Rattus norvegicus: one gene and its partners. The protein of the gene in region 1 binds, or shares a complex with, the protein of each later gene. Links are inferred from orthologs where the notes say so. Each region holds a gene or a part of one and is shown in the gene's direction. Other genes may lie near its edges.

The links.
Region 2: the proteins of Vegfa (region 1) and Nrp2 are in contact, whole or in part, in a crystal structure (PDB 5DN2), measured with the Homo sapiens proteins. The link is inferred for Rattus norvegicus from reciprocal best matches to the Homo sapiens genes VEGFA and NRP2. Residues at the interface, in NP_003367.4 of Homo sapiens: Lys392, Pro393, Arg394, Arg395; in NP_957718.1 of Homo sapiens: Tyr299, Ser300, Asp301, Trp304, Thr319, Asp323, Ser349, Glu351, Thr352, Asn354, Tyr356, Gly417, Ile418.
Region 3: the proteins of Vegfa (region 1) and Kdr are in contact, whole or in part, in a crystal structure (PDB 3V2A), measured with the Homo sapiens proteins. The link is inferred for Rattus norvegicus from reciprocal best matches to the Homo sapiens genes VEGFA and KDR. Residues at the interface, in NP_003367.4 of Homo sapiens: Pro246, Asp247, Ile249, Glu250, Ile252, Lys254, Met287, Ile289, Pro291, His292, Gln295, Ile297; in NP_002244.1 of Homo sapiens: His133, Val135, Tyr137, Ile215, Val216, Val217, Val218, Val219, Gly220, Tyr221, Asn253, Gly255, Ile256, Asp257, Phe258, Val273, Asn274, Arg275, Asp276, Phe288, Ser311, Gly312, Leu313.

The regions. Positions count from the first base shown.
Region 1 is NC_086027.1:22,450,416-22,456,347, forward strand, and holds the start of Vegfa (vascular endothelial growth factor A), read left to right. Parts: upstream 1-2,438; 5' UTR 2,439-2,915; coding exon 2,916-3,518; intron 3,519-5,932.
Region 2 is NC_086027.1:71,675,054-71,680,526, forward strand, and holds part of Nrp2 (neuropilin-2 precursor), read left to right. Parts: intron 1-1,609; coding exon 1,610-1,959; intron 1,960-3,804; coding exon 3,805-3,949; intron 3,950-5,473.
Region 3 is NC_086032.1:32,584,363-32,589,835, forward strand, and holds part of Kdr (vascular endothelial growth factor receptor 2 precursor), read left to right. Parts: intron 1-570; coding exon 571-685; intron 686-771; coding exon 772-935; intron 936-2,787; coding exon 2,788-2,944; intron 2,945-3,809; coding exon 3,810-3,921; intron 3,922-4,748; coding exon 4,749-4,857; intron 4,858-5,473. UniProt on the Homo sapiens protein: Tyrosine-protein kinase that acts as a cell-surface receptor for VEGFA, VEGFC and VEGFD. Plays an essential role in the regulation of angiogenesis, vascular development, vascular permeability, and embryonic hematopoiesis.

The DNA.
Region 1 (5,932 bases):
GACATAGGCAGCCCGTCCCTACCCTGATACGGGTTTCTCAAAACCCTTCAGGCCAAGCCCCAATCTTAGCATAGCTTTGGTGCTTTGGAAAGGGAAATCTGAAGTGTCATTGTTCGGACTCCTCTGGGAACCTTATATGGTGGTATCACGCCTTATACATACATATGCTACATGTATAATACACTATACATATACTATATGTATACTACACATATACTACACATATACATATAGATATCACGGCTGTCTTGGGATAGGAGGAAGCTAAAGCCATGAAGTTATAGGTAGCTAACTAACCCTTCCCCTCCTCAAAGCTTCTTCGTTTTCCTCCAAACCTCGGGATCCTTTACTGAGTCCCTCTTCTGTAAATAACTGATATGCAGGGTATTTGATATGCGACCCCTGTGAAAGTGTTGGGGGGCTGAGAACCACTGCTGTAGAAGGTAGAGATGAGAGTGACTGAAGAGTAGAGCATTGGGAGCCTTACGTGTCCACAGCCTCTGTTATACCGTGATGAGGGACAGGGGCTCCCTGACACGGCGCTACATCTGGTGCTCTTGGGATGTTAAGGACAGGCATTTGGTAGCTTTCCTTTCCAGTGCCTCTTAGCTGCATAGATTATAGATCAGGTGAGGAAACCCATGGGAGGGCTCTGGGCCCGTAAGCATTTACTAACTACTCTCCCTGCTAAAAGAGAGCCATCCGGGAGGTGACTCAGGGCAGCTATGATAGGCCAGATGGGATGGGGTGGCTTTTTTCCTCATAAGATCCTCATAACATTGCTCCATTGAAATTGGGGTTCCCAACAGGTACCAGCATCCCACGGAGCCTCAGTACTGTGTGCAGAGGGATGGAGATGGTGGAGTAACCTTTTCGGGGGACCAGTAGGAAGACTGTTGGCTCCCTTTCTCAGAAGCTCAGCAGACCTGGGTGAGGGCTGGGACTGGTTGGTCCCTCTCTTCCCACAGGTATCAGAGCCCCCTCTTGTTCCCAGGGGAGCCTAGGAGCAGCTGGGCCAAAGCCCAACCAGGAATTTTTCCAGGCTGGTTCCTATATCCAAGGGTGGGCTGGAGGTGGGGGCTTTGGGGAGCTCTTAAGGAAGACACGAGGAGGTGAAGGGGACTTTGTGGAAAGGGAGGGGACAGAGCCACACAGGCTAAGTGTACAAGCATAGAGAAATGGCCAAGGGTCCTAGGTAGAATGGGAGGGGGCAGAGTACAACCCTGAACTCTGTTTAGAAGATGAACTGTGAGCCTAGGCTAGAACTGAGGGAGCCTTACCTCTACTCCCATCCTACCCGGAGTTGGTGGCAGCGCTGGGCAGCTGGCCTAACTACGTTTCTGAATGCTAGGGTAGGTTTGAATCACCACGCAGGCCTGGCCTGCTTCTGCCCCCATTGGCACACTGGCCTTAGTTCCCTGGCAACATCTGGGTGTTTGTGTGTGGGGGGTGTGATCAGGAGGAACAAGGGCTTCTGTCTGCCCAGCTGTCTCTCCCTCAGGGCTCTGCCAGACTCCACAGTGCATACGTGGGCTTCCACAGGTCGTCTCCCTCCGGGCCACTGACTAACTGCTCGGCTTCCCGTTCTCAGTGTCACACATTTGATGCCATATCCTCTCCAGAGAAGCCTCTCTGGAAACTTCCCAGGGAATCCCATTCACCCCAGGGCCCTAGTTCCTTATGTATGAAGATCAGACAAGAGCTCAGATAAGCATACTTGCCTTCCACGTAGCCCCCCGCCCCATATATAATCCTAGAGTTTCTGTTTCCGAGGTCAAACAAGCAACTGTTGGGGGGTGGGTGTTAGAAACACGCAACTATTTGGGAAGTCAAAGCCTGCGGTGCTCAACAGTCAACTCTCACCCCCTGTCCAAGACCCGTGCCATTTGAGCCAGAGTTGGGGTGTGCATAATGTAGTCACTAGGGGGCGCTCGGCCATCACGGGGAGATCGTGAACTTGGGCGAGCCGAGTCTGCGTGAGGAAGGACGCGTGTGTCAATGTGAGTGCGTGCGTGCATGTGCGTGTGTGTCTGGGTATAGTGTGTTTGTGAGGTAGGGGAGAAGACCAGGGGTCACTCCGGGTGTCCGTCTCCCCATACGTCCTTGCCAGCTCTCCGCCTCCCCCCCCCCCCACTTTCTCCTACATTCCTGGGAAAGGAAATTGCCCTCACTCTCCTGTCTCCCCTGATTCCCAACACCCTGGGATTCCCAGTGTGTCCCCGAGCCAAGTTTGAAGGGGTGGACAGATAATTCTCAGGCTATGGACCCTGGTAAGGGGTTTAGATTTCTATTTCGCAGTAGTGGCCTAGGGGCTTCTGAAAGGCGGTGCCTGGTTCGGCCTGGCCTCGCCCCCGGGGCGGGCCTGGGGCGGGGCCTTTGGGGGCGGGGCCAGATTTCCTTTTTTTTCCACCGCTGTTACCGGTGAGAAGCGCAGAGGCTTGGGGCAGCCGAGCTGCAGCGAGGCCGCGGCGCTGGGGGCGAGCTGAGCGGCGGCAGCGGAGCTCTGTCGCGAGACGCAGCGACAAGGCAGACTATTCAACGGACTCATCAGCCAGGGAGTCTGTGCTCTGGGATTTGATATTCAAACCTCTTTTTTTTTTCTTAAACTGTATTGTTTTACGCTTTAATTTATTTTTGCTTCCTATTCCCCTCTTAAATCGTGCCAACGGTTTGGAGAGGTTGCTCCTTCACTCCCTCAAATTACTTCGGATTTTGGAAATCAGCAGAGGAAAGAGGTAGCAGGAGCTCCAGAGAGAAGTCAAGGAAGAGAGAGAGAGAGAGAGACCGGTCAGAGAGCGCGCTGGCGAGCGAACAGAGAGAGGGACAGGGGCAAAGTGACTGACCTGCTTTTGGGGGTGACCGCCAGAGCGCGGCGTGAGCCCTCCCCCTTGGGATCTTTCATCGGACCAGTCGCGCTGACGGACAGACAGACAGACACCGCCCCCAGCCCCAGCGCCCACCTCCTCGCCGGCGGGCAGCCGACGGTGGACGCGGCGGCGAGCCGCGAGCAGGAGCCGAAGCCCGCGCCCGGAGGCGGGGTGGAGGGGGTCGGGGCTCGCGGGATTGCACGGAAACTTTTCGTCCAACTTCTGGGCTCTTCTCTCTCCGGAGTAGCCGTGGTCTGCGCCGCAGGAGGCAAACCGATCGGAGCTGGGAGAAGTGCTAGCTCGGGCCTGGAGAAGCCGGGGCCCGAGAAGAGAGGGGAGAAAGAGAAGGAAGAGGAGAGGGGGCCGCAGTGGGCGCTCGGCTCTCGGGAGCCGGGCTCATGGACGGGTGAGGCGGCGGTGTGCGCAGACAGTGCTCCAGCCGCGCGCGCGCCCCAGGCCCCGGCCCGGGCCTCGGTTCCAGAAGGGAGAGGAGCCCGCCAAGGCGCGCAAGAGAGCGGGCTGCCTCGCAGTCCGAGCCGGAGAGGGAGCGCGAGCCGCGCCGGCCCCGGACGGGCCTCTGAAACCATGAACTTTCTGCTCTCTTGGGTGCACTGGACCCTGGCTTTACTGCTGTACCTCCACCATGCCAAGGTAAGCGGTCGTGCCCGCCTGGTGTCGCCGGGCCATGGCGAGCGCCTCTCCCGCTTGGGGACGTGCGTGCGTGCGAGCGCGCGCGTGGGGGGCTTCGTGCCCCACGCGGGTCCTTGGGCACCGGGCGCGAGGCGTCCCCCTCTGTCGTCGTACGTGGAGGGGGAGGGGGTGCGCGCTAGGTGGGAGGGCGCCAGGATAGTCTCGCCGCCCACGCGGGCCCTGCCCACCCACCAGAGTCACCGCACGTACGATCTGGGCCGAGCAGCGGAGGGCGGGAGCCAGAGGAGGAGGCTGAGGGGGCTGGGCTTGCGCCCGAGCTGGCGGCAGAAGTTTGCTCTGGGTCGCGGGTCCCGGGAGAACTGGAAGTCCGGGCAGAGGGGGCGGGAGTCCGGAGCCCAGCGGGCATGCCTGGGGGTGCTCGGACCTTGGACCGGGGGAGGGCAGAGATCGTGGAGGGGGCAGGGCGCCGGCGACCGAGGGGGCTTTGCTGTCACTGCCATTCGGTCTCTTCGGCCTTTGCAGTGAGTTTGGGGAAAGTTTTAGGATGGATTACTGCGGGGACCCTCTCCCACCCCTCTAGCTTGTTGGGCCACCTGCGCCGCGCCACCCCCTCCCGTCCCCGCTCGCGTCCCGCGCGGTGCCCGCCCTCCCCCGCCTGGCCGGGCGCGCGCGGCGCAGAGCCGATTACATCAGCCCGGGCCTGGCCGGCCTCGTGTTCCCGGAGCCGCGGCTGCTGGAGCCCGGAGACCCGGGCGACAAGCGGCGCCCCTCCCCCACCGGCCCTCCGCGAGGAAGGTGACCTCTGGAGGTATCCCCAGCTCCGGGACCGGGAGAAACTCCCATACCCCTTTCCTCCGTTCCCAACTTCTACCCGTGCCTTGCTCTAGGCAGAATTACCCGACGCCCCTTCCCCCTTTCCCCCATTTCCTGCCTGGTGTGCAGAAAAGCCCTTCCCACCCTTTTATATTTTCCTTTTCCTTGCGAAGACTCATCGGACCCTTCCTGGCCCCAGGGCCCAGGAAAAGGACGGTGACTGTCAGACGTGGGGGTGTTGGGGCCCACCCTCGGGTTCTTTGTGGAAACGCTGACCTAAGTTTTGAGTTGGTGAAGGTGTGCTTCCCTCTCCTCCTAGCAGCTCCAGTTAGCTGTGTTTCACCTTTTTTTTGGGGGGGGGGCGGTCAACGAAGGGTGGACTGACATCACCCTATTTCCCCCGTTTTGGAAACATGACTTGATATTTGCTAAGACAGGGGCAGCCTGGAACCAGCCCTTTCCTACTCCTTTGACAGGATCCCTTGTCAGTATCTCACACACACTTTGTCCTGGCAAAGCCTGATGCCCAGAGAGCAGGTGGTTTAACTCTGAACTTACCCACCCAATTTGCCTACTAAAGGGTCCTTTGATGCTCGTTTCCTCTAATTCTCAGCTATAGAGCCTTCTTGGAAAGGAGGCAGAAGGAAGGAGAAGGGCAGGTGTCCCTGCCACCATCCAGAGGTCCCCAGACCCTGGCACAAAGGCCTTGGTTCTGGGCCTTCATGTGGGGAGGAGGGCAGGAGTGCTTGGCCACAGTGTGACCTTCAGAGGCCCCCAGAGAAGGACACCTGGCCAGTCCCTGCCTAGAACCTCCCCATCTGGGAAGGGGTTCAAAGTTTCTGTTTCCTTTCTCCACTGGGGTCTAGACAGAGGAGGAAGGAGAATGTCATGAGGCTATTGAGGGGGTATTTGAGGGCCTGATGAAGTGCAGAATCCAGGACCAACCTGGGGCAGCTGCAGTGGGAGGCTATGTCTTGAGAAGGGCCACCTCTGACCTTGGCCCTGGTGGCAAGGCTGAGGGCCCTGGATGGATTGCTCTTAGGAAAAAGAGACAGAGACAGACCAAGGGTGGGAGTCTGTCCCTCTGGGGCAGTTGGAGGTCCAGGTTGGTGTGAAGCAGGTGGATGGGGAGTTGTAGCAACAGGAGACCCTCAGGAAGGCCAGGAGCCTTGGCTTGCTTGCCACGTCAGGGCCACAGGGCCTTCTTGGTGACCTTCAGAGGTTCTGGGGAGGGGAGAGAGGAACTGGTGGGGATGAGGAAGGTTGGAGGGCTCAGGGTGGGGCAAAGGACCCCCTGGCAGAACTGAGGAGAAAGCTTCCCTGGGTACATTTAAGCAAAGTGCCCTGCCCAGGTGAGAGGCTCCGGGATGTGGGAGTGGGAGGCTAGCCAGGCTTTGGAAGCTGCAATCGGGACCTGGGCAGACCTGGGACCTGGGGTGGGAGGAGAATGGGACTCTCCCTTCCTTAGGAGCTTCCTCCCAGCTTTTCACCCCTTGAGCAACCTGTGGGTATGCTGACTATTCCCCAGGCCTGGGAAGAGTTCAGATGGGGGAGGGTAGTTGGTGCCCTTCTGTCCTCTGCATCTCTCTTCGACTCGAGCT
Region 2 (5,473 bases), about 49 Mb from region 1:
TATTTCTCCATCCATCCAGCCGATATGTTCTTATTAAGCCTGCGTTTATTTCTACTGGTTAAAACGTATTGAGCGATGATTGACAACAGATTGCAGCCCCACCCTAAGTGTGCTATCTTTTATTATTCCTATGTGTCATAGGTGTTGTCATTGTCCTCACTTTGCACAATAGGAAACCAAGAGTTAAAGAACTTAGTCCCCAGTAAGTGATGGTACCATGGTAACCTAGGTAACTTGAGTTTCAAATAATGCTCTCTGCTACCTCATGTACAAACCAAGATCTAGACACGTCACTATAGACACAACGGGAACATGCCAGACCCAGGCCAGTGTGGGCGTATGGACGAGTTAGATGGACGAGTTAATAGGAAACAAGATGGTAAATAAATGAAAATCAGAAAACTATGAAGAATATCTGGAAACAGGATGGGCCTCATGACCCCTGAAGTGTTCTACAGAAGACTTGACATAGCCTGGCAGGTCAAGAAATTCTTCGGTGACAATGAGTTACCGAGGTCAGAGGGCAGACAAACCAGACAGTACCTGCCGAAGAGTGATTAGAAAACAGATACTCAGTGGTGATCGCTGCTTGCTTGTTGGCACTGTAGCAAAGGAGTGGAGAGACAGTGTGTGAGGACTGCATCTGAAGGAACAATGGCACTCGCATGGGCTAAGACTCATGGGCTGCACAGGAGAGAGCATCAGAGTAGGATCAGAGGCCTTTGGTAGACCGGTACAATGGTATAGTTGTGAGACCATGGCGATTAGACCAGCAATAGGTGAACATTTACAGGTCAGTCACTTCCACTCTGAACTCCACCTAGAAAGGCAAGCTGATTCTCTGACATGGAAGGGTCCTCAATGTCCATCCACCCTCTTGCCTACCTCGCCTCACTCCATCTCTGTCTAAGAGCACACCGTGGAATGACCCTGCTTATGGCTTCTTGTTCGAGCACCCTGCATCTGCGCCTTCTCTGCATCGTTCATGACTCTCTCCTGTACATTATGCTGCCTGTTTATTACACCAAAGATGACGCTGGTGAAGTTATTAGATTCTGATAGGCAATAACTTAACCCTGGTCACCATCCATCCAGAAGGTGATGGAACCAGGACCTGCACCTAGGAAACTATAAGCCCATCTTGTAGGCAAAATGGTCTTCCACTGTGCTCACTGTCCTTGAGAGAGTCAGTGGGGATCAGGTGTTGTGGATAGATGTGCCAACACACATTCTCAGAAGCCCTGATCAGAGCCATAAATACAGCCACTGTGTACTTAGGTGTACCAGGCACTGTTCTAAGGCCTTCGCTGAGGTGAGTCCTCACAACAGGTAGGCACTGCTCAAGAGTACTCCTTTAGACTTGGGGGGCTCGATGCATGGAACAATTAAATCACTTGACCAAAACTGTACAGCTAAGTAAGCAGGAGGGTGAACATATAACCAGGCATTCTGAGTCCAAGTTCAGGCTCTGAATCACAGCGCTCTACAGCCTCAAAATACAAAATAAAATAAATAAGCACGTGACCTGATGGCCTGATAGCTGCTAGGGGGTGGGCTTCAATTAGTGGGTCTCAGCCACGACTTCTAGTATTCTCCTTGTCTCTCCTAGATGCACCCTGCTCCAACATGCTGGGAATGCTCTCGGGCCTCATTGCTGATACCCAGATCTCTGCCTCCTCCACCCGAGAGTACCTCTGGAGCCCCAGTGCTGCCCGCCTGGTTAGCAGCCGCTCTGGCTGGTTCCCTCGGAACCCTCAAGCCCAGCCAGGTGAAGAATGGCTTCAGGTGGATCTTGGGACACCCAAGACGGTGAAAGGCGTCATCATCCAGGGGGCCCGAGGAGGAGACAGTATCACTGCCATGGAAGCCAGGGCATTTGTACGCAAGTTCAAAGTCTCCTACAGCCTAAATGGCAAGGACTGGGAATATATCCAGGACCCCAGGACTCAGCAGCCAAAGGTAGGCCATTCACAGAAAACTCTGCTGCCATTCTAAACAGAGAGGTTCAATGGGGTACAGGGAGCTGGGGTACTGATGTCCCATCTAGTAGATATCCATCAAACTCCATCAGCACAACAAAACACATACCAACCAAGACACAATGTTGCCCAGGGCCTGGTTGCCTAATTTAGTTAGATTCATTCATCATAACCCTCTATGAAGTCTACTCTTTGATCACTCACATTTCAGAGATGACAAAACTGAGGCTTAGGTTATTCCAGAGTCACACTGTATATCGGTGCTTAAGCCATGATTCAGAAACCAAAAGTCAGATTCCAAAGCCCAGATACCTATGCAGTGCTTATGAAGTTTGGTAGCCTTCACAGTCCCTTCTGGATAACGTTTCCTTGAAACGGGCCAGACATCCCAAGGGGATGTGGTTGTTGGAGGCCAAGCTATAGACACTGGGAGTTACTTCCAAGAATAACTGTTTTTCTGAACATTACGCTCCGTTGTATTTTCTTAGTCTTGAATGCTCAGATCTTTTCCCGCCTGCCTCTTACACTGAGTTTGAAAGAAGAAAGAGAATCTTATGCTGGGCCAGAAGTTCAGGCCAGAGCAGCCCATCCCAGCCATGGGAGAAAGGAAGGCTGACCTTCACCCTAGCATGCAAGGAGGCTCGGCTAGAAAAGGACCCCATGCCTCTTCCCTCTCCAGATTCATCTCCTGGTAGGCCAGGCTAGCTGGTCCTCATTTCTACGTTACTTTCAACTGCAGACAAGCAGGGTTCTCAACAAGAAAGGACTCCTCCCTGTGATAACCAAGGTTTTGCTTTCTGAATGCATAAGCAAGGGCTAAGTTGGTTACAGTAATATGAACTTCCAGATCACAATCCCAGGGCCTTGAAAAGACCCAGGGTCTGGGAACCAGAACCTTCATTGAGAAGCCCAGGAACTGGAAATTTCCCCAGCGACAGCTAACCATGACTCTTAGTGAAAGAAATGATCTTGGCCCTGCCCAAGGCAGCACCCTTACTTTGAAAGCTATCCTGAGCACCTACAGTTGGCTGACACTCAGACATCCCTGAACATCACAGCTGTCCTCTCCCTGTGTGAGGGACCCCACGGTGGCTCTGGATAGGATCCCTACACAGCTTTTTACACATTGGCAATCCAAGGGAGGTTTCTTTAGGTGGAATTGCTGCTGATAGACAAAGCTCTGGAAGACTATCTCAGGCCATCAGTTTGTAACCAAGAGGACGCCCTTACTATCCTAAAGAAGGAGCAGCCATTTTTCTTTCTGACTGTCAGTATACTTGGAATTGTTGGCCCCATGCTTCTTGGCATTGAATAACCTGAAAGTTATTCATCCGTGCGGGCAAGCATCCCGCCAACTCTACCCCATCCCATCCAGGTACCCAGACTTCCAGGCATCAGGAAAACACTTTTCTAAAAACTAAAAAAATAAGACAAGGAATCTGGGATGTTTGCTCGCCTACTAGTTTTTATTTTAAAGATAGGAGTCTTTTAAAAGATGGTGCATCAACCTCAAAAAGATTACTGGATCTCCGATTATGGTTTTAATTTTCCTTTTTTTTTTTTCCTTTCTGGACAAGGTCAGCTTAAATCTCATTTGCAGCTCAGACTTCCCCTGACAATGGCCATTCTAATGATACCTGATTTCCATATCCCAAGGTCCCTCGTGGACTTTCCAAATGAACAAAGACCTTGGTTTGAAATAAAGCTTGTAGAGGATAGTGCCCCCATGAATCAACCATGAAGCTGACTTCTGGGTTAGGTGTGGTTGGGAGAGGTACTCGGGGAGGAGCCCCACATGGGGGCTGAACAACCTGTCTCCCTACAGCTGTTTGAAGGGAACATGCACTATGACACCCCCGACATCCGAAGGTTCGAGCCAGTTCCAGCACAGTACGTGCGGGTATACCCAGAGAGGTGGTCACCAGCGGGCATCGGGATGAGGCTGGAGGTCCTGGGCTGTGACTGGACAGGTAAGGAGGATTTGCTCTCCATGTCTTTCTCATTTGATCTTGGTATCCTGGGAGGGGGAGAGAGGCAGTCAGCCTTCGGGAAGCAGACATCACTGTGTACCTGCTATATTTTTGGGACCACCTCTGAACTTGGAGAAATTTCTCGAGGGAAGCAGTTTGTCCTTGGTCAGGGATCACTTCAGTTCTTCAACGGGAGTCTCTCAAAAACAAATCATAACCACCCACCACCCACCCAAATTCAATTAGACCCCAGCTCTTCAGGCCAGGGGGCTGTGGCTGTTGATTTAGGAAAGAAAAACCCTCTCATGATAATAAAGTAATCCGTTTATGTCTGAATCTGGCCTCCAGATGTCAGAAGCTCAGAGACAGCATTTTCCTTTCAAAGCCACAGCTGTAAAAGGCATCTATTTGCTCAGAAGGGACAGCATGGTGCAAGGGTGCATCTTCCCAGGCTACAGCTGTCCTCCTGCTCCTTCCGGACCTTCTAAGAAGCACAGCCCTGGGGCAAGGGCCTCTGGGAATTCTCCCTGTGAGGGTGAGGCCCAGAGCTCACTCCTGAGAAAGCCAGATCCCTCTGAATCAGACTCAACCTAGCCTCTGGCCACTGGCTCTACTTCTTCCTCAGAGCTGGCACAGACTGTCAAAATGAGCTTTGGGAGTCACCTGGAGCTCAGAGCCCCACCCAGTGCCAGCAGGAGCCGCCAGTAGGCTGTGCTCTCCTGCCCCTCCCCACCAGGGCCCCAGGTAATCCCATTTTCCTGTCTGCTGTATCTGTCACTGGCAGGATGGCATGAAGGATTAATAAGGGCATGTCAGAGAAGTGCTCTGGGCTCCCAGGGAGAAAAGTGTTGCCTGTGTGGGGGCTACAAGTGCACAGAGGAATCCTGGGCAGACGTGCTGGCCAGGAATGGGGCCCAAGTTCACTTCTAGGCTTGGAAGTGAAGACACTATCATGGAATCTATACTAGTTGGGAGACTCTCTCTCTCTCTCTCTCTCTCTCTCTCTCTCTCTCTCTCTCTCTCTCTCTCCCCCTCCCTCTCTCTCTCTCTCACACACACACACACACCACACACTTGTAGGACTAAAGCTGAGTCCCCCAATGCCTGAATGTATGTCGATTGTGCCTCACCAGTACTAAAAACCCACCTCAGACATGAACTAGTTTCATTTACCCCCTTAGGCTTAGAACTATAGAGAATCCAGAAACTCCTAGGCTAGGCTAGTGGATGCTACATTTGATCACGTGTCTCAAGTTAAACCAAATCTCCATTGCAGCCCCTTTCATTGACAAGCAAGCACACACATGTGAACATATGGGGACGTTCTTGAATTCCAGAATGATGACTAAATTCAAGTCCTTCCCTGGCCATCACTAGGAGTAGAGCCTAGGACCAATGACTTCATCTTTTACCTGGGAAGTAGGGGTGGCATCAGTCTGTCACAGAGCCCTGCAGCTGTTAGGAGATGGCATGGAGTAACAGTGGGCAGTATTTTGGTTGCTACCCAACACTGGCAGGCATGTT
Region 3 (5,473 bases), on another chromosome or scaffold:
CATTGAGCTTTTAATACAAGCAATTGAACAGTGGCATCCCTAAATGAAGGGGACTGGATGGGGTTACAGAGAACAATGTAGAATGTGTTTCTTGGGTGATGCCCATTAAACATCCAGGTGGAAATATTTGATATATGTAAACCTGGAACCCAGAGAAGTCAGACAGGGGTTGAAAGTTTGTGTTCAGAACTGATGCTTTAGATATGAGACTAGATGGAAGAGGAGATTTGGAGGGAGTGAGTGTCAGGGCAATCAATACACAGAGTTGGGTAGAGCATGTCACAGGAGCAGAGAATAAGGTATAGCTTCTGGTCCCTGGGCATGGTAGAGAAGGCTGTGTGGAAGATAGAATGCTCAAGACTCATGAGAGAGCTCTAGTGAGGAGACAATGCTGACAACAGCTAGAAGTGAGCTGGAATTTGGCTGCTATAGATGGCATGGGGATTCTCAGAACAGCGGTACATACATGTATCCCAAACTCTACCTTTTCACTTGATTAAAAGTCCAAACCAAAAAGTCATTTACTGTAACTTGGCATTTATGAGAACCATTGCTTTCGTTTTCTTCTAGCAAAACCTTTTATTGCTTTTGGTAGCGGGATGAAATCTTTGGTGGAAGCCACTGTGGGCAGCCAAGTCCGAATCCCTGTGAAGTATCTCAGTTACCCAGCTCCTGATATCAAATGGTAACTACTGGAAATAAAAGCAAAGCATTGATTTGCATGAGATAAAATCCTTCTATCGCACTACCTCCCGGGATTGTCTCCCTTAGGTACAGAAATGGACGACCCATTGAGTCCAATTACACAATGATCGTTGGTGATGAACTCACCATCATGGAAGTGAGTGAAAGAGATGCGGGAAACTACACGGTCATCCTCACCAATCCCATTTCAATGGAGAAACAGAGCCACATGGTCTCTCTGGTTGTGAATGGTGAGTCCATTCGCTGTCTCTTCTGCCCAAAGTTTACTAGGGAAGAGAGAGAGATAGTGCATCTTCACATATCTCCCATCATTTTGTTGTCTTCTGTTATACCATCTGCATCATTAACTGGGCCAATGCATGAGAGAGAGAGAGAGAGAGAGAGAGAGAGAGAGAGAGAGAGAGAGAGAGAGAGAAAGAGAGAGAAGAGATGGAGAGAGGGAGAAGGGAGGGAAGGAGGGAAGGAAGGGAGGGAGAGAGAGAGAAGAGATGGAGAGAGGGAGGGAGGGAGGGAAGGAAGGAGAGAGGGAGGGAGGGAGGGAGAGAGATGACCCAGGGAGGTGGATTTGAAATAAGATGTGGTCTGGCATCCTCTGGATGTGCTGCTTCTTTGATTACTCGTGTGAAGGTTCTGTTGGTGGTCACCTACAAGGTGAGAGGAAATAATACCCCTTAGCCAAATGCCTCTGGGGTCACTCAAAGCTTTGCGAGCTCCTGTTGCTTTTGTCCTCAAAGCTACACATCGAATGAAGATTTGGGAGACCCTCCTTGTGTTTTGTGTGACATTTTAGTCTGAAGATTTAGCTGTTTTGCTGCAGATGCATGGCAGAACTCCACAAAGGAGATTTGTGGAAGCCGGCACCATTGGATAACTTGCTGTCTACAGTCAGAGGACACATTTAGAATCTGTCCAGGAAAGAGCATAAGCTTTTGATTTAAGAGTGATTTAAATTACTTCCCAAACCGAATGTACTAAGTATTTGAGTTTGGGATAGAAAGGTGCCATGGTCAGGTGAGTGGAGCAGGTATCAGGTTGACTTAAAATGTCTTTCTTATAGGACCTCCTTAGAATCCTTATAGGATAATGACTATTGCCTTCTCTGGTAGGAGTGACAAGAGTATCAAGGATTTAACTAGATGATTTGACTAGAGCACTTTTCCTTTCCCAGTAAATAGATTAATGTTTTGCTCCAAACACAGTCGGAGGAATGCTTCTGGTGTAATTCTTCGTGCTTCTTACTAGCACCACACATTAAAATGTCAAGAGATTGTCTCAGAGCAGGAGCATGCTGCCCACACATCTCCATCCTCTGTGTGTCTTCTGAGCATGGCTTCATTTCTTTTTTTCCTTAGGGAGTATTTTTTAAAGATAACAGGTTCTGGGAAGGTTGCTTCGAAGCTGCATGGACAAAGGGGATTCAAGAGGGGGGAGGAAGGCAGAAGCTGATTAAGTATGATGAAAAGAAAAAAACCAGGCAGCAAAGACAGAAAGGCAGACAGGGAGCAACCCCATTGCTCACTTCTCCAGGTCACCACCTTCAGAGTACCCTAGCACATACTGTGCGCAATACATACAAAAGTCAAGTTGAGCTTCTATTCTAAAGCCTTGGTCCAGGATCAGTATTAACTGATGCCTTTGGGCAAATTTTTTAATATTTGCCCCATTTCTTTTCATGTGTAAAGTGAGAGCCATATCCATGATTATGAGGGCTGAAAGTCAATGTGAAGCACCTCAACAAGGCTTGGTGCACAATAAATGTCTTTGCTGAGTTATTCCAACTGCTTTCTCTCTGTAGCCTCTCACCCCATTCTTGCTAGACTAGAGGATGTGGAGAACAATATCTTTCATGTAAGAGTAAGAGAGTGTGGCATGGGAGTGCATAGCTGAAGTCACTCAGCTTATCAGGTTTTAGTGTTATGAGAGAATAAGAATTCAGGTCTTCTGTCTCCAAGTCTAGATGTCCTTTGGGAAAACAAGCAGAGGTCAAATCATATGAGTACACAAGGCAGATCTGGTTGCTGAAATCCCCTCTTTGTTCTCAAAGCAATTGGGAAGTTCACAGGTCGCCTTTTCTATCTCCAGTTCCACCCCAGATCGGTGAGAAAGCCTTGATCTCTCCTATGGATTCCTACCAGTATGGCACCATGCAGACGCTGACATGCACAGTCTATGCCAACCCTCCCCTGCACCACATCCAATGGTACTGGCAGCTAGAAGAAGCATGCTCCTACAGGCCCAGGTGAGTGGGACCATGTGCTCTGTTCACTTGCTATCATGCATCCCTTCCTGCCAAGCTATGCCACGGTTCCACCTAAATCTGCAAGGCTATGTCCAAGGAAGTTACTTTCAATGGTACTTAGACTCACCTCCCACATCCCACTATGTGAGTCAGCTCTTTCTCCTTAGTTATCCCTGATGGATACCTCTCCAAACGGATACCATTTGCTGCGTTTGCTAGTTGCCAATCTTTGGATCTTCTTCTGTCTGTGGACTGGAGAGGACCACCCTGCTCCTCCTTATCTCTGGGAAGGTTCAACTCTCAGAGGAAGTGCTGGTGGATGGGAGGCAATGATAAACGTAGCCCAGGCCTCAAGAGTCTCGGGCCCAGCTTATCAAGGTCTACCACAAGTGCAGACATCCTTAGGGAAAACAACAGCCACCACCTTCAACCTACCACCCCAAGCATTCCACTTCCTGTTGTTGTTTTTGAAATAGCAAACCCTAGTTTCTTCCTCAGCTGCTGACCATTTCCTAAACAAAAGTCACCAGTCATTCCCAGAGAGATGACTTTAAGAAGCCCCAATGGCTTCCAAGTTTCCTTACCTTCCTTTGAACTAAGTGAGCTTGAATTGTCTTGTCGATGCAATTTATGAATGGAGACTTGTTCCCAGAATAGCTGCTTCCCTTCTGTATTCTCGGGCAGCTACCTTGGACCTTTGCACTGTTGTTGGCATCTATTTTTAATTGGCGCCAAGTTCTGCGAAGTGTTAGCCTGTGTTGAGAGTTATCACTAAGAACGTGATAACCATAGGCTGACCTTTTCTGGTGCTACTGAACAAAAGAGAAGTCAAATCATGACATGCTGTGCTTTCTCCCTCTTACAGCCAAACAAACCCATATACTTGTAAAGAATGGAGACACGTGAAGGATTTCCAGGGGGGAAATAAGATCGAAGTCACCAAAAACCAATATGCCCTAATTGAAGGAAAAAACAAAGTGAGCTTGAACTTTGATTTTGAATCTCTCTTTTTCTAATTCTTGAATCTGAGTAGAAGGTGGTACAATAACATGCAAAGGTATATTGGAGGTTAATAATCAAATAGTCTGTATTATGTCATCCATAACAGCCTAGGTATAGAGTCAACCTAGGTAGATAAAGAAAGCATGAGTTTTACACACATACGCACACACACACACACACACACACACTCCTTCAATCTTAAATAGCAACAAATTTATGCCATTTGCAGAAAGTTGAGATCATCACATTAAGCGAAATAAGTTAGACTTAGAAATACAAATATGATTTTCTTTTATATGAGTCAGGATAAAAAAAGATATGAAGGTAGAGAAGACAGACTGATTGGGAGTGAATATAATCTAAGTATATTATATACATGTATAAAATGTCATAATAAATCTTGCTGTTTTGTACAATTAATATCTACTAATTTAAAAGGAGAAGGGAAAAACCCGTAGTACCCATAGCTTACTAGCAGTTTATGGAAGAGAAACAAAGCACATAATGCCACTCAGTGTAAGCACCTGTTGAAAAGTAATTCTGATTCTATACACATAAAAAATGAAAAGTGTGAATTATGTCCATGAGAGTGCATCCTTGAGGATTTCTGAGGCACTTTTGTATCCCGTGTATTACTGCCTGGTTAGAGCTGCTTACCTTTGAGGGTGGGCAGTGTGTACCATGAATGGCAAGGGCAGTCCTTAGCAGCTGTGGAGGGCTGATGGATAGACTGTCTCAGTGTGTATGTGTGTGTATATGTTCAGCCTGTATTGTTCATGACTTTGGTCTTGTATGTTCACAGACTGTAAGTACTCTGGTCATCCAGGCTGCCAACGTGTCCGCATTATACAAATGTGAAGCCATCAACAAAGCAGGACGAGGAGAGAGGGTCATCTCCTTCCATGTGATCAGTGAGTAGACCTCTTTGGAGAGTGGGGTGGGGGGAACCCTCAGGAAGTGGGTGCTAATAAGCTGTGAGGTTGTCTGTTGTCTTTGGGATTTGTGTGAGAGGTGGGCTGTGTAGATAGGACTCAAGGTAACAAGCTAGAGCTGCTCACATAGCCCCTGGGCTTGTGAGAGAGTTAATGTGCCATCCCTGGCCAGAGATGGTTTCCACTTGTGCTTTAAGCCTCAAGATCCATGTTGTGTGTAACTTGTCTTGCTCACCAGTTAGTGGGATTCTTGACTTCCTAGGGTTTATGAAGTTATCTGTGGGTCTGTGATAGAACAGCACCGGGTCTGGGGCTTCTGGGAGTATGGGAATGATGTGAAATCACTGGCCCTCTGCCTTCCAACACTCTGGAGTTTGTTCCTGCAGCCTAGTTTTACGGGTAAACTTGAGGTGATTGTACTGGTTCAGACATTTTGGCCTGAGCTAATTACTTGTAATAAATGTGGTTTTCATGTCATGTATTAATAAGAAGACATTGTTAAAGATTCCGTGTGATGATTAAATGCCCTACTTTGGACTTTTTGCTTTGCTTTGTTTCAACTTGGAAACCATATCCAGAACTCAAAGTAGAATGC